Linked DNA regions of Macaca mulatta. The protein of the gene in region 1 binds, or shares a complex with, the protein of each later gene. Links are inferred from orthologs where the notes say so. Each region holds a gene or a part of one and is shown in the gene's direction. Other genes may lie near its edges.

Region 1 (3,560 bases):
CACTTTGGGAGGCCGAGGTGAGCGGATCATGAGGTCAGAGGTCAGATCGAGACCATCCTGGCTAACACAGTGAAACCCCATCTCTAGTAAAAATACAAAAATGAGCAGGGCACGTTGGAAGGTGCCTGTAGTCCCAGCTACTCTGGAGGCTGAGGCAGGAGAATTGCTTGAACCCGGGAGGCAGAGCTTGCAGTGAGCTGAGATCGTGCCATTGTACTCCAGCCTGGGCGGCGTGAGACTCAGTCTCAAAAAATTTAAAAATTAGGGTTATTGTTTGTCTGGAGTACCCAGCTCACTGTGGGCGTGTGGCGCTCGTGGTATCTAGGAGCTGTGTGCACAGTCATTATTTCTGTGGGGCCACCCTAGTCACCATCCAACAGGCATCTGTTGGGTGTGTAACCGGCGCCAGGTGCCGGTCCTGCGTGGCTGCAGCTGCAGTGTGGACACACTGCTGTGTTCACAGAGTTCACCTCGGAGCAGGGGCAGATGTGCACCAGCGGGCCGGGCCTGAGCAGTGGTGGCCCTGGCATGGGGACCTGCCCGCGCCAAGGCCTGCAGGCCGAGAGAAGCGGCCCCCAGGTGGGCGGGCAGTGGGCTCCCGGTTCCTCCCTGGCAACGCCATCGCCCCCTTCTCCTTCCCGCCGTGGGTCCCCTTGTGTCCTGGCAGCGGCTGGGCGCTCGGTGCAGGTCGAAGGACCGAGGGGTGCAGTTAGGTCACCGTGTACAAGAAGCCCGAGCTGACCCGACCCGTGTCTCCTTGCAGACATTGACAAGGTCATGATCAACCTCAAGACGGAGGAGTTTGTCCTGGACATGAACACGCTGCAGGCGCTGCAGCAGCTCTTGCAGTGGGTGGGCGACTTCGTGCTCTACCTGCTGGCCAGCCTGCCCAACCAGGTGCGCTGCGCTCGCCCCTGAGGCTGCCCTCGCCCCTGAGGCTGCCCTCCCCGAGGCCCCGCCCCTCATCGGGGCCCTGACTCCTGGCCCCGCCCCTCATCTGGGCCCTGACTCCTGGCCCCGCCCCTCATCTGGGCCCTGACTCCCTGGCCCCGCCCCTCATCAGGGACCTGCCTCCCTGGCCCCGCCCCTCATCTGGGCCCTGACTCCTGGCCCCGCCCCTCATCTGGGCCCTGACTCCCTGGCCCCGCCCCACATCAGGGCCCTGCCTCCCTGGCCCCGCCTCTCATCTGAGCCCTGACTCCCTGGCCCCGCCCCTCATCTGGGCCCTGCCTCCTTGGCCCTGCCCCTGAAAACCACTTCAGCCCCGCCCCTACTTGGAGCCCCACCTCCTGACACTGTCTATTCTCAAAGCTCCACTGCCTATCCCGCCCGTCCTGAAGCGCTGCCCCACCTCAGAGCCCTCACCTCCATGAAGCTTCTGCAAAAAACCCTTCCTTGACCACACACTTTCTGCCCATTCTCGAAGCCCCGCCTCCCAGACCCTGCCCCTTCTCGGTCCCACCCTTTACTCTCCCCAGCTCCCGGTGCAGGAGGCGGTTGGGGGGAGTTGGCAGCTTTGAAATCATCAAGTCTCCATCCACACCCCCACCTTCAAGTATGCGGCCTGTGTGCCCCGAGCAGGGCTCCAGCCTCCCCCCGCCCACACACTCTGTCCTGCCCAAACCGTGACTTCTCTCCCCAAGTTTCATTCTGCCCTGGGGCCTCTGTCTCTCCACCCGCGCCCATCAGGCACGGTTTGAAGTCCCTGTCTGCTCCTTGTGGGACTTGAGGCTGCCAGGTTCTCTCGGCTCCCAGTACAGCCACCAGGGCCACTCAGCTGTGGGGGGCGGCTGCTCCTCCATGTGCCGGTGGGGACGTTGGCCTCAGCCAGAGCCGCTTCTTAGTCCTGTGGCGGCTCAGGGATGGGACAGCTCTCCAGACGGGGCTGTCCTGGGCCCTGCAGGGCGCTGAGCAGTGTCCCCGGCATCCACCCACTCCGTGCCAGGAGCTCCCCAGTCCTGACCACCACAAACGTCCCAGACCCTGTCCATTGCCTCCAGGTCGGGGTTCCACCGGACCCGAGAGACCTCATCCCATCACCATCTGCCCCCCCGCCGCCCAGCTACTCCGATGCCTCTTTCCGGCAGGGCTCGCTGCTGAGGCCGGGCCACAGCTTCCTGCGGGATGGCACCTCGCTGGGCATGCTTCGGGAGCTGATGGTGGTCATCCGCATCTGGGGCCTGCTGAAGCCCAGCTGCCTGCCTGTGTACACAGCCACCTCGGACACCCAGGACAGCATGTCGCTGCTCTTCCGCTTGCTCACCAAGCTCTGGATCTGCTGTGAGGCCCCCTGCCCTCTGCTCCCCTCTCCCTACCAGAACACACCGCGTCCGAGCCCCCTGCCAGAACATAAGCCCTCTGCTCTCCTCTCCCTACCAGAACATACCGTGTCCGAGCCCCCCGCCAGAACATAAGCCCTCTGCTCCCCTCTCCTACCAGAATGCACCGTGTCCGAGCCCCCCGCCAGAACATAAGCCCCTGCAGGTGGCAATGGCTCTGCCTTGATCTCTGCCATTTCCTCGGTTCGCAGCACAGGTCCATGCTCGGTGTGGGTGCCATTGGGATGGCAGCCACTCCCAGGCTCCTATTTGCTGTCTCTCCTTGTCAGGTTGTGTGTATGTGAGGAGGGTGGGTTGGATCGTTCTTATGTCTCAGTGTCTGGGAAAGGCACAGTGCTTCCCACATACTTTTTTTTTCTTTTTTTGAGATGGAGTCTTGCTCCGTTACCCGGGCTGGAGCGCAGTGGCGCAATCTCGGCTCACTGCAAGCTCCACCTTCCAGGTTCACGCCATTCTCCTGCCTCAGCCTCCGGAGTAGCTGGAACTACAGGCGCCCGCCACTGCGCCTGGCTAACTTTCTGTATTTTTAGTAGAGACGGGGTTTCACAGTGTTTGCCAGGATGATCTCCATCTCCTGACCTCGTGATCCACCCGCCTTGGCCTCCCAAAGTGCTGGGATTATAGGCGTGAGTCACCGCGCCCGGCCAGCTTCCTACATACTTTTTAAGTGAATGAGGGAGTCTCATTATTGAGGCCAGAGAGGGTGAGAGAACCCTGGGGTCACCCAGCCAGGCAGACAGAGCCGGGGCCCCGACCTGGTGCTCCTGAACTGGAGGGGCTCCCCGTGCGTCCCGGGTGGCCGGGTGGTGCCCCGGGCAGGGTTGCCCCAGGCAGAGTTGCCGAGACCTTGGCCACCCCTCTCTGCAGGTCGCGATGAGGGCCCAGCGAGCGAGCCAGACGAGGCGCTGGTGGACGAGTGCTGCCTGCTGCCCAGCCAGCTGCTTATCCCCAGCCTGGACTGGCTGCCCGCCAGCGACGGCCTGGTCAGCCGCCTGCAGCCCAAACAGCCCCTACGTCTGCAGTTCGGCCGGGCGCCCACACTGCCTGGCAGTGCTGCCACCCTGCAGCTCGATGGCCTTGCAAGGTGCGTGTGTCCCTGCATTGGTCCCCAAACACACCTCCCTCCATGCCCTGCCCCAAGGCCCCCCGAATCCACACAGCTCCCTCCCTCCGTGTCCTGCCCCAGAGCCCCCCAATCCACACAGCTCCCTCCCTCCATGT
Region 2 (4,135 bases), about 16 Mb from region 1:
TCAGTTGCAGCCTTGTTTTGTAATGGCGAACAGAAAGTGCCTAAGTGTCCCACAACATTCAAGTCGGGCCTTCCCCACTCTGGAAGGGATGGTGAGCCAAATGAGGGGCTCTGTTTGAGGCTGGACATTGCTGATGTTAAGTCAGAAAAGGCAAGAACCACGGTCAGTTTGGTTTTGAAATATGTGACAAGTGTAGATGTATACGCCTGCATACACAAGGGATATTTTTGGAAAAAAATGCAAGGTAATGCTACAGTGGCTGGGTCAGAGATGCCCATTTCCTTGTGTGCCCTTTTACGCTGTTTTAATTTGTATCATGTGCCTGCTTAACTCCTTTATCATGTTGGGGTGGGGGTGGGGGGGAGTTGTGTAATCTACTCACTGTGGTTTCCTCAGGGCCCCTGGGTTCCCGCCTGCCAGCCAGCCCACCAGAAACCTGTAGCTGCTGGAGGTGGCGGTTGAGCGGTAGGAATTCTTGTTGTAACAATTAAAGGAGTTAGTAATGTGTGGGAAGTGCTTAGAACAAGGTGTGGCTCCTAGCAAGATCCTAAAAGGGTGGGATTACTCGGTCATAGGATGTGTTCATGTTTCACTCTGCCAGACAAAGTCCAGCCGTTCCCAAAGTCGGCTGTACCCCCAGAAGTACCTAGTATTGTCAGTGGGGTGCGTGTATCATATATCCATTTGTGGGTTCAGTTTGAGTTTTCCTAATTATTGATAAAGCTGAGAAGCTGAGCATTAGCGCTGACATTTCATTGCACAGTGCCTGTTCCTGTCTTGTAGCCACTGTGCGCTGGGTTCCTGGTCAGCTGCACTGCTGCACAGGCATTCTCTGTGTGTTCCAGATACAGCTCCTTGGGGCTTGTGGTCTATGCCTTCTCCCACTTTGTGACTTTCTGCTCTCTTTATGGTGTCTTTGGATTCAAATCGACTGGTTTATTATGTATTGAATTTTTTTTTTTTTTAACGGAGTCTCGCTCTGTCACCCAGGCTGGAGTGCAGTGGCGTGGTCTTGGCTCACTGCAACCTCTGCCTCCCGGGTTCAAGCAGTTCTCATGCCTCAGCCTCCCGAGTAGCTGGGACTACAGGCGCATGCCAGCACACCCAGCTAATTTTTTTATTTTTAGTACAGATGGGGTTTCACTGTGTTCGCCAGGCTGGTCTCAAAACTCCTGATCTCGTGATCCGCCCTCATCGGCCTCCCAAAGTGCTGGGATTACAGGCGTGAGCCACCCGCGCCCAGCCTATGTATTGATCTTTTAAGCTTTGTGGATTTTATTCGATGAATTCTTCAGTGTCTCCTCTCCCACTCCCATCAGATGGCAGAGTAGAGGTCATTTTAAGTATCAGGAGCAGCTCTTGTTTCACAAGCATCCTGGGTTTCAGCAGGTGGGTGGATATGTACCATGTACACTGGAGGGTTTGGAGCAGACCGCACACCACACACTGGAGGAGGTCGGACAGCGGGTGAGGATGAGCACTGGGCGCCAGGTTGGCCTGGGGAGCAGGTAGGAGACTACATGGAGTGGGGGCTTCAGTGCTGCCAGCTCCTCTTGCTCTGGGGTTGGGGAGAGACTGGAGCAGGCTGGGGTAGGGTGTCCCTGCCTCCCAGGGGAGAAGGGCAGGAACCTGACAAATGGCTTTTTCTTTATTTCCACAGATCCGGAACATGGTGGCGGTGCTGGAAGTCATCTCCAGCCTGGAGAAATACCCCATTACCAAAGAGGCACTTGAGGTGAGTATCCCAGACCCCAGCATTTGGGAGTGCAGAATGGGGGACAGGGGACGGCACCAACCCAGTTCCTTCCCCAGCTTCTAGGAGCGTGTGTCTTTGCTTCAGAGGACCAAGAGAGGCGGTGTGCCCTCACAGCTTGTGCCCCGTGATCTTGCTCTCCTGTGGCCACTGCAGTGACCAAGTGGCATTAATCCCATCCTACCTGCCCAGCACACTTCATGGGCACGTGGGCACGTGGGGACATGGGGACATCAGGAGAGGTGTGCTTGGGGGAGGCTCCAATGAGAGGCGCCGTCCCCAACCCTCCACTTGAAGCAGACCCTCTGTGCTGCCGCCTTGGCCACAGCACCCTCTCATCCAGAAAGCCTCCCTGGCAGTGTCCTTACAGTGGCCTTGACAGCCCCCTGGCACCAGGAGCCTGCGGGACAGCACTGCTGAGAAGCCACCTGGGACTCTGAAGGTCTGGGGACTAGGTTTGAGAATTTATATTGTCACAAAGGACCGGAAATCCCCAGGAGTTTTGTGCCAGGGAGGCTGGCAGTTTAGGGCTCAGTGGGAACCAGGTCATTTCATTGTCAGGGCCATTTCCCACCATTTCTGGCTCAGCTCATGGGGAAGTCCCTGTCCCGAAAGTATGTCATCATCTCTCTTTCTGGTTGTAGGAAACACGACTTGGGAAGCTCATCAACGACGTCCGCAAGAAAACCAAGAACGAGGAGCTCGCCAAGCGGGCCAAGAAGCTGCTGCGGAGCTGGCAGAAGCTCATCGAGCCAGCGCACCAGCATGAGGCAGCGCTGCGGGGGCTGGCGGGGGCCACTGGCTCTGCCAACGGGGGTGCACACAACTGCCGGCCGGAGGTGGGGGCGGCTGGCCCGCCCAGGAGCATCCATGACCTGAAGAGCCGCAATGACCTCCAGAGGCTGCCCGGGCAGCGGCTGGACAGGCTGGGCAGCCGCAAGCGCAGGGGTGACCAGCGTGACCTCGGCCACCCAGGGCCACCACCTAAGGTCTCCAAAGCTAGCCACGACCCCCTGGTCCCCAACTCATCCCCCCTCCCTACCAATGGCATCAGTGGGAGTCCAGAGAGCTTCCCTGGCTCCCTGGATGGCAGTGGGCATGCAGGCCCAGAGGGCGGCCGCCTGGAGCGTGGCGAGAACGACAAGCACAGTGGCAAGATCCCCATCAACGCTGTGCGGCCGCACACCAGCTCCCCAGGCCTGGGCAAGCCCCCTGGACCCTGCTTGCAGCCAAAGGCTTCGGTGCTGCAGCAGTTGGACAGGGTGGATGAGACTCCGGGGCCTCCCCACCCCAAGGGGCCCCCTCGCTGCTCTTTCAGTCCTCGGAACTCACGGCATGAGGGCTCCTTTGCCCGGCAGCAGAGCTTGTATGCACCCAAGGGCTCCGTGCCCAGCCCCTCACCGCGGCCCCAGGCGCTCGATGCCACACAGGTGCCGTCACCGCTTCCACTGGCACAGCCGTCCACACCCCCTGTACGGCGGCTTGAGCTGCTGCCCAGTGCGGAAAGCCCAGTGCGCTGGCTTGAGCAGCCGGAAAGCCACCAGCGGCTGGCGGGGCCGGGCTGCAAGGCAGGGCTGTCCCCAGCCGAGCCCCTCCTGTCCCGGGCGGGCTTCTCCCCAGACTCCTCCAAGGCGGACAGTGACGCTGCCTCCTCAGGGGGCTCGGACAGTAAAAAGAAGAAGAGGTACCGGCCTCGAGATTACACGGTTAACTTGGACGGGCAGGTGGCTGAGGCGGGCGTCAAGCCTGTCCGGTTAAAAGAGCGGAAGCTCACCTTTGACCCCATGACAAGACAGATCAAACCTCTGACCCAGAAAGAGCCAGTGCGGGCAGACAGCCCTGTGCACATGGAGCAGCAGTCCAGGACAGAGCTGGACAAGCAGGAGGCCAAGGCCAGCCTCCAGAGCCCCTTTGAACAGACGAACTGGAAGGAGCTGTCACGCAACGAGATCATCCAGTCCTACCTGAGCCGGCAGAGCAGCCTGCTCTCATCGTCGGGCGCGCAGACCCCGGGGGCTCACCACTTCATGTCTGAGTACCTGAAGCAGGAGGAGAGCACCCGGCAAGGGGCCAGGCAGCTGCACGTGCTGGTGCCTCAAAGCCCGCCCACAGACCTCCCCGGGCTGACCCGGGATATCACACAGGACGATCTCGACAGAATCCAGGCCAGCCAGTGGCCGGGGGTGAACGGGTGTCAGGACACACAGGGTAACTGGTATGACTGGACGCAGTGCATATCACTTGATCCGCACGGCGATGACGGGCGCTTGAACATTCTGCCTTATGTCTGTTTGGACTGACCGGCCCGTCAGCCACGAAGTGCATTCCCATCTTGCAGAAGCCGGGCGGGCGGGCAGGCAGGTGGGTGGGTGGCCGGGGCCC
Region 3 (4,055 bases), on another chromosome or scaffold:
AGAAAGCCCAAAGATTTCTTTACAACTTATTTTTTACAATTCCTTTACAGTAGCCCCAAAATTTTATCCACTTTCGCATCCTCAGGATCAAGCAGAGTGCCTAGAGTGTACACTCTAGAAATGCTGATTGAATTAAGAAACGGCTGACAGTGTGTGCAGGTAGTGTGGCCACAAGAATAGTTTCAAGTCCCAGGCACTCATTAGTTGCATGACCTGGGGCAAGTCGCCTAAATATACCAAGATCCATTCCTTCACCAATGAAACAGGACTACTACTACTTGCCTTCCCTACCTTACTGGCTCCTCAGGAGGCTTTACATAATGAGCGGCACTGTAAGATGCTATACACGTATATGTACAGTTTTGACAGGGCTGTTTCTTAGTCTAAATGGTGAAATGGAAAGAAACCTGGACTCAACAGTCAGAAGCTGTTGGGCCGTTGTACAGGGCTACGACTAACAGGTTCCGTTTTCCCATATTAAACACAAAGTTTAGTCTCGACGATGTTTCGGACTCTGCACTTTACAGTCTGTTAAATCCGCTACAGGCTCGGAACCTCAGGTGTCCTCAGAAAGGTAAACCCCAGGGTTCCCAGATGCACCTGCAAGGGCAGGGACAGTCAAGGTCGCGGTACTGAGACGCGGGACGCTCACCCAGTCAAAGTCACACGGGTTACCGTCTTCGCGTTGGGTGGGCAAACCGTGGCAGAGTGGCGGCAGTTTCCTCACGAGTAGGAAGGCAGCAGAGAGCAGGGCCGACAGAAGGTAGTAAGGTTGGGCAAGCCATCGTGAAAGTCGCGGCACCGAATACACCAGAGCAATTAGAGGAGCCAAGACCGCCATCTTTTCGGCCGCAAGGGCCACTGCTCACCGGCGTCGTAGGTCCGGCCCCGCCTCCCCCACCATAGCGACTGCTATTGGGCTACATCTCAAACGTACGGCCTCTAAACCCGGATGTAGTTCTGTCAACGCTGTGGTATGTCAGAACCCAAAAAAGAACTTAATATCTTATTGGTTGGTCTAGCTGTCGCTTTATCAGCTTAAGTCATTTTATTGGACTGTAGCTAACGTAGCTAGCAGAAGACTCTAATAAGGTTAAATAGCACTTCCTGAACGTTCTCAGAGAGCGACGGAAGTAGTTGTTGAAACAAGGTAGGCGGTGCCTGAGGCATCCAATGACAAGCGGTTCCTTGAGAAAGAGGTGGGTATTCCTTAAAGGCATTGTCCAATGAAAATTACCAACGCCAGACACCGAGACAGCGCCGGGGCGGAGGGGACGATGGAGAATTTCACGGCGCTGTTCGGGGCTCAGGCTGACCCACCACCGCCCCCAACCGCACTAGGCTTCGGACCAGGAAAGCCTCCACCCCCGCCACCGCCTCCTCCGGGCGGGGGACCCGGCACGGCTCCGCCTCCCACCGCGGCCACGGCCCCTCCCGGCGCGGACAAGTCAGGAGCTGGCTGTGGCCCTTTTTACCTCATGAGGGAACTGCCAGGTGAGTACTCGGCCTTGCCAAAGCCAGCCAATCAAATCTTAGAGAGGAGGTGTTGGGCGTGGCTCTCAGCCGGCTAACGGAGGTGCGAGGTAACCTAGGCAACGCATACCCGGACTGTGGAGCCCTAAGTCGAAAGGGCTATTAGGATTCACAAGCAGAGGGATGAGTTGAATTCAACCAAAGGGATGAATGGCGGGGAGCGGGGTGGTGCATCTCCGTGACTGTCTTTTGCACCATGTCCAGGCTGTGTTCCTGACACTGGTTTATGTCTCCCTAAAAAATGATCTAGGGCTGGGCGCAGTGGCTCACGCCTGTAATCCCAACACTCTGGGAGACGGAGGCGGGCGAATCACCTCAGGTCAGGAGTTCGAGACCAGCCTGGCCAACATGATGCAACTCTGTCTGTACTAAAAACACAAAAATTACTTGGGCGTGGTGGCGTATACCTTTAATTCCAGCTACTCGGAACCCGGGAGGCGGAGGTTGCATTGAGCCGAGATTGCTCCACTGCACTCCAGCCTGGGCGATAGAATGAGACTCCGTCTCAAAACAAAAACAAACAAACAAAAAATCAAGAGTTTGAGTTTGGAACTCGAGAGGCCTGATTTAATATCTTTGGGGACCTAAAGTTTTAGTTACAAGTCTCCCACAGACTTGCTGTGGGTTTGGGGCAAGTTGCCACTCTTCCAAGATTTCTGCGTTTCCTGGTGTCATCAAAGAAGGGGTAAGAATCGAACCAAACTCTTTTCATTCAAAAAATTATTTTGTTGAGTACCTATGTACCAAGCACTTTTCTAAATGCTGGAGATACAGTTGTGAACAAGACTGACAAGATGCTTGCCTTTTTTGGAATGTACATTTCAGTGTAGGAGGCATTGTAAACAAGATAATGTCAGAGAGTGGTTAATGCTAGGAAGAGAAAACATTATAAAAAATTGAAGGTGGCCAGGCGCATTGCTCACGCCTGTAATCCCAGCGCTTGGGTAGGCTGAGGCAGGAGGATCCTTTGAGCCCAGGAGTTTGAGACCAGCCTGGGCAACATGGCGAGACCCAGTCTCTACAAAACATACAAGATTAGCCGGCCGTGGTAGTGCTTGCCTGTAGCCCCAGCTACTCAGGAGACTAAGGGAGGAGAATTGCTTGAACACAGGAGGTCCAGGCTGCAGTGAACCAAGATTGTGCCACTGCACTCCAGCCTAGGCAACAGATGAGACCCTGTCTCTTAAAAAAAAAATTGAGGGGCAGAACTACTTTAGCTAGAGTGGCCAGAGATGCTCTCTCCACATAGCTAAAATTTGAACTAAAATGTAAGCATAGACAAAGGGCCAGCCAGCTATGGACAGGAGGGAGAGATAATTCTAGATACAGGAAATGAGGTCAGAAACCCTGATGTGAGAAAAAGCTTAGAATATCTGAGGGACAGAAAATCAGTTGGACTCCAGTGAAGTGAACAAAAGGAAAGAGTGTTAGGAGAGAGATGAAGCTGGGAGAGTTAGGCAGAGGCTTTTATAAAGCAATAAAGGCATTTAGATTGTAAATACAAAAGGAAGCCATTTAAAACAATTTTTTATAGAGACAAGGTCTCACTGTGTCACCCAGGCTGGACTGCAGTGGTACAGTCATAGCTCACTGTAACCTCCAATTCCTAGGCGCATGCTGTCCTCCCACCTCAGCCTCCCAAGTAGCTAGGACTGCAGGCATGTGCCACCACAGTTGGCTAACTTAAAAATTTTTTGTAAAGACTGGGTCTTACTGTGTTGCCCAAGCTGGTCTTGAACTCCTGGCCAATGACAGTCCTCCCACCTTGGCCACCCAAAGTGCTAGGATTATAGGCCTGAGCCACTGTGCCCAGCCAAGGAAAGCCATTTTAACATAGGAACTTGGTCAAATGTACTTATTTAGAGAAGTAAATGGATACAGGGTGTTAGATGTAGAGCTGACAGGGTTGAAAAGCTGAATATAGAGCCAGGTGCTGTGGCTAACGCCAGTAATCCCAGCACTTTGGGAGGCTGAGGTGGGAGGACTGCTTGAGCCCAAAAGTTTGAGACCAGCCTGGGCAATATAATGAGACCCCATCTCTACAAAAAATAAAAGTAAATTAGCTAGGGATAGCAGCGTACACCTGTAGTCTCAGCTACTTAGGAAGCTGAGGTGGTAGAATCACTTGAGCCCAGGAAGTTGAGGCTGCAGTGAGCTGTGATTGTGCCACTGTGCTCCAGCTTAGATGATAGAGGAAGAAGCTGTCTCAGTTAAAAATACATATTGTATATAGAAGTGAAGGAGATAGAGGAATTGATGCCTTTTTAAGTTTTCAGCTTGAATAATTGGGTGTATGGGTACGAGACTTGGAAGATGAGGAAGGAACAAGTTTGAAGAGGTGGAAATCGAGTTGTTTTGGACATGTTTGGTCTCCAAGATGCTGCCTTTCTCTCTCTTTTTTTTTTTTTTTTTTTTTTCTCCTGAGACAGAGTTTTGCTCTTGTTGCGCAGGCTGGAGTGCAATGGCGCAATCTCGGCTCACTGAAACCTCCGCCTCCCAGGTTCAGGCGATTCTCCTGCCTC

Evidence for each region. Proteins that work in one complex are often made in the same cells at the same time.
Region 2: MED16 (region 1) and MED26 share a complex: the UniProt entries of both Homo sapiens proteins name them as parts of the mediator complex. The link is inferred for Macaca mulatta from reciprocal best matches to the Homo sapiens genes MED16 and MED26.
Region 3: MED16 (region 1) and MED19 share a complex: the UniProt entries of both Homo sapiens proteins name them as parts of the mediator complex. The link is inferred for Macaca mulatta from reciprocal best matches to the Homo sapiens genes MED16 and MED19.

The regions. Positions count from the first base shown.
Region 1 is NC_133424.1:1,528,263-1,531,822, reverse strand, and holds part of MED16 (mediator of RNA polymerase II transcription subunit 16), read left to right. Parts: intron 1-763; coding exon 764-897; intron 898-2,000; coding exon 2,001-2,280; intron 2,281-3,206; coding exon 3,207-3,423; intron 3,424-3,560. UniProt on the Homo sapiens protein: Component of the Mediator complex, a coactivator involved in the regulated transcription of nearly all RNA polymerase II-dependent genes.
Region 2 is NC_133424.1:17,072,851-17,076,985, reverse strand, and holds the start of MED26 (mediator of RNA polymerase II transcription subunit 26), read left to right. Parts: upstream 1-1,324; 5' UTR 1,325-1,406; coding exon 1,407-1,508; intron 1,509-1,660; coding exon 1,661-1,735; intron 1,736-2,397; coding exon 2,398-4,053; 3' UTR 4,054-4,135. UniProt on the Homo sapiens protein: Component of the Mediator complex, a coactivator involved in the regulated transcription of nearly all RNA polymerase II-dependent genes.
Region 3 is NC_133419.1:15,682,021-15,686,075, forward strand, and holds the start of MED19 (mediator of RNA polymerase II transcription subunit 19), read left to right. Parts: upstream 1-1,244; 5' UTR 1,245-1,277; coding exon 1,278-1,494; intron 1,495-4,055. Other genes in the region: TMX2 (thioredoxin-related transmembrane protein 2), read right to left, coding at 653-841. UniProt on the Homo sapiens protein: Component of the Mediator complex, a coactivator involved in the regulated transcription of nearly all RNA polymerase II-dependent genes.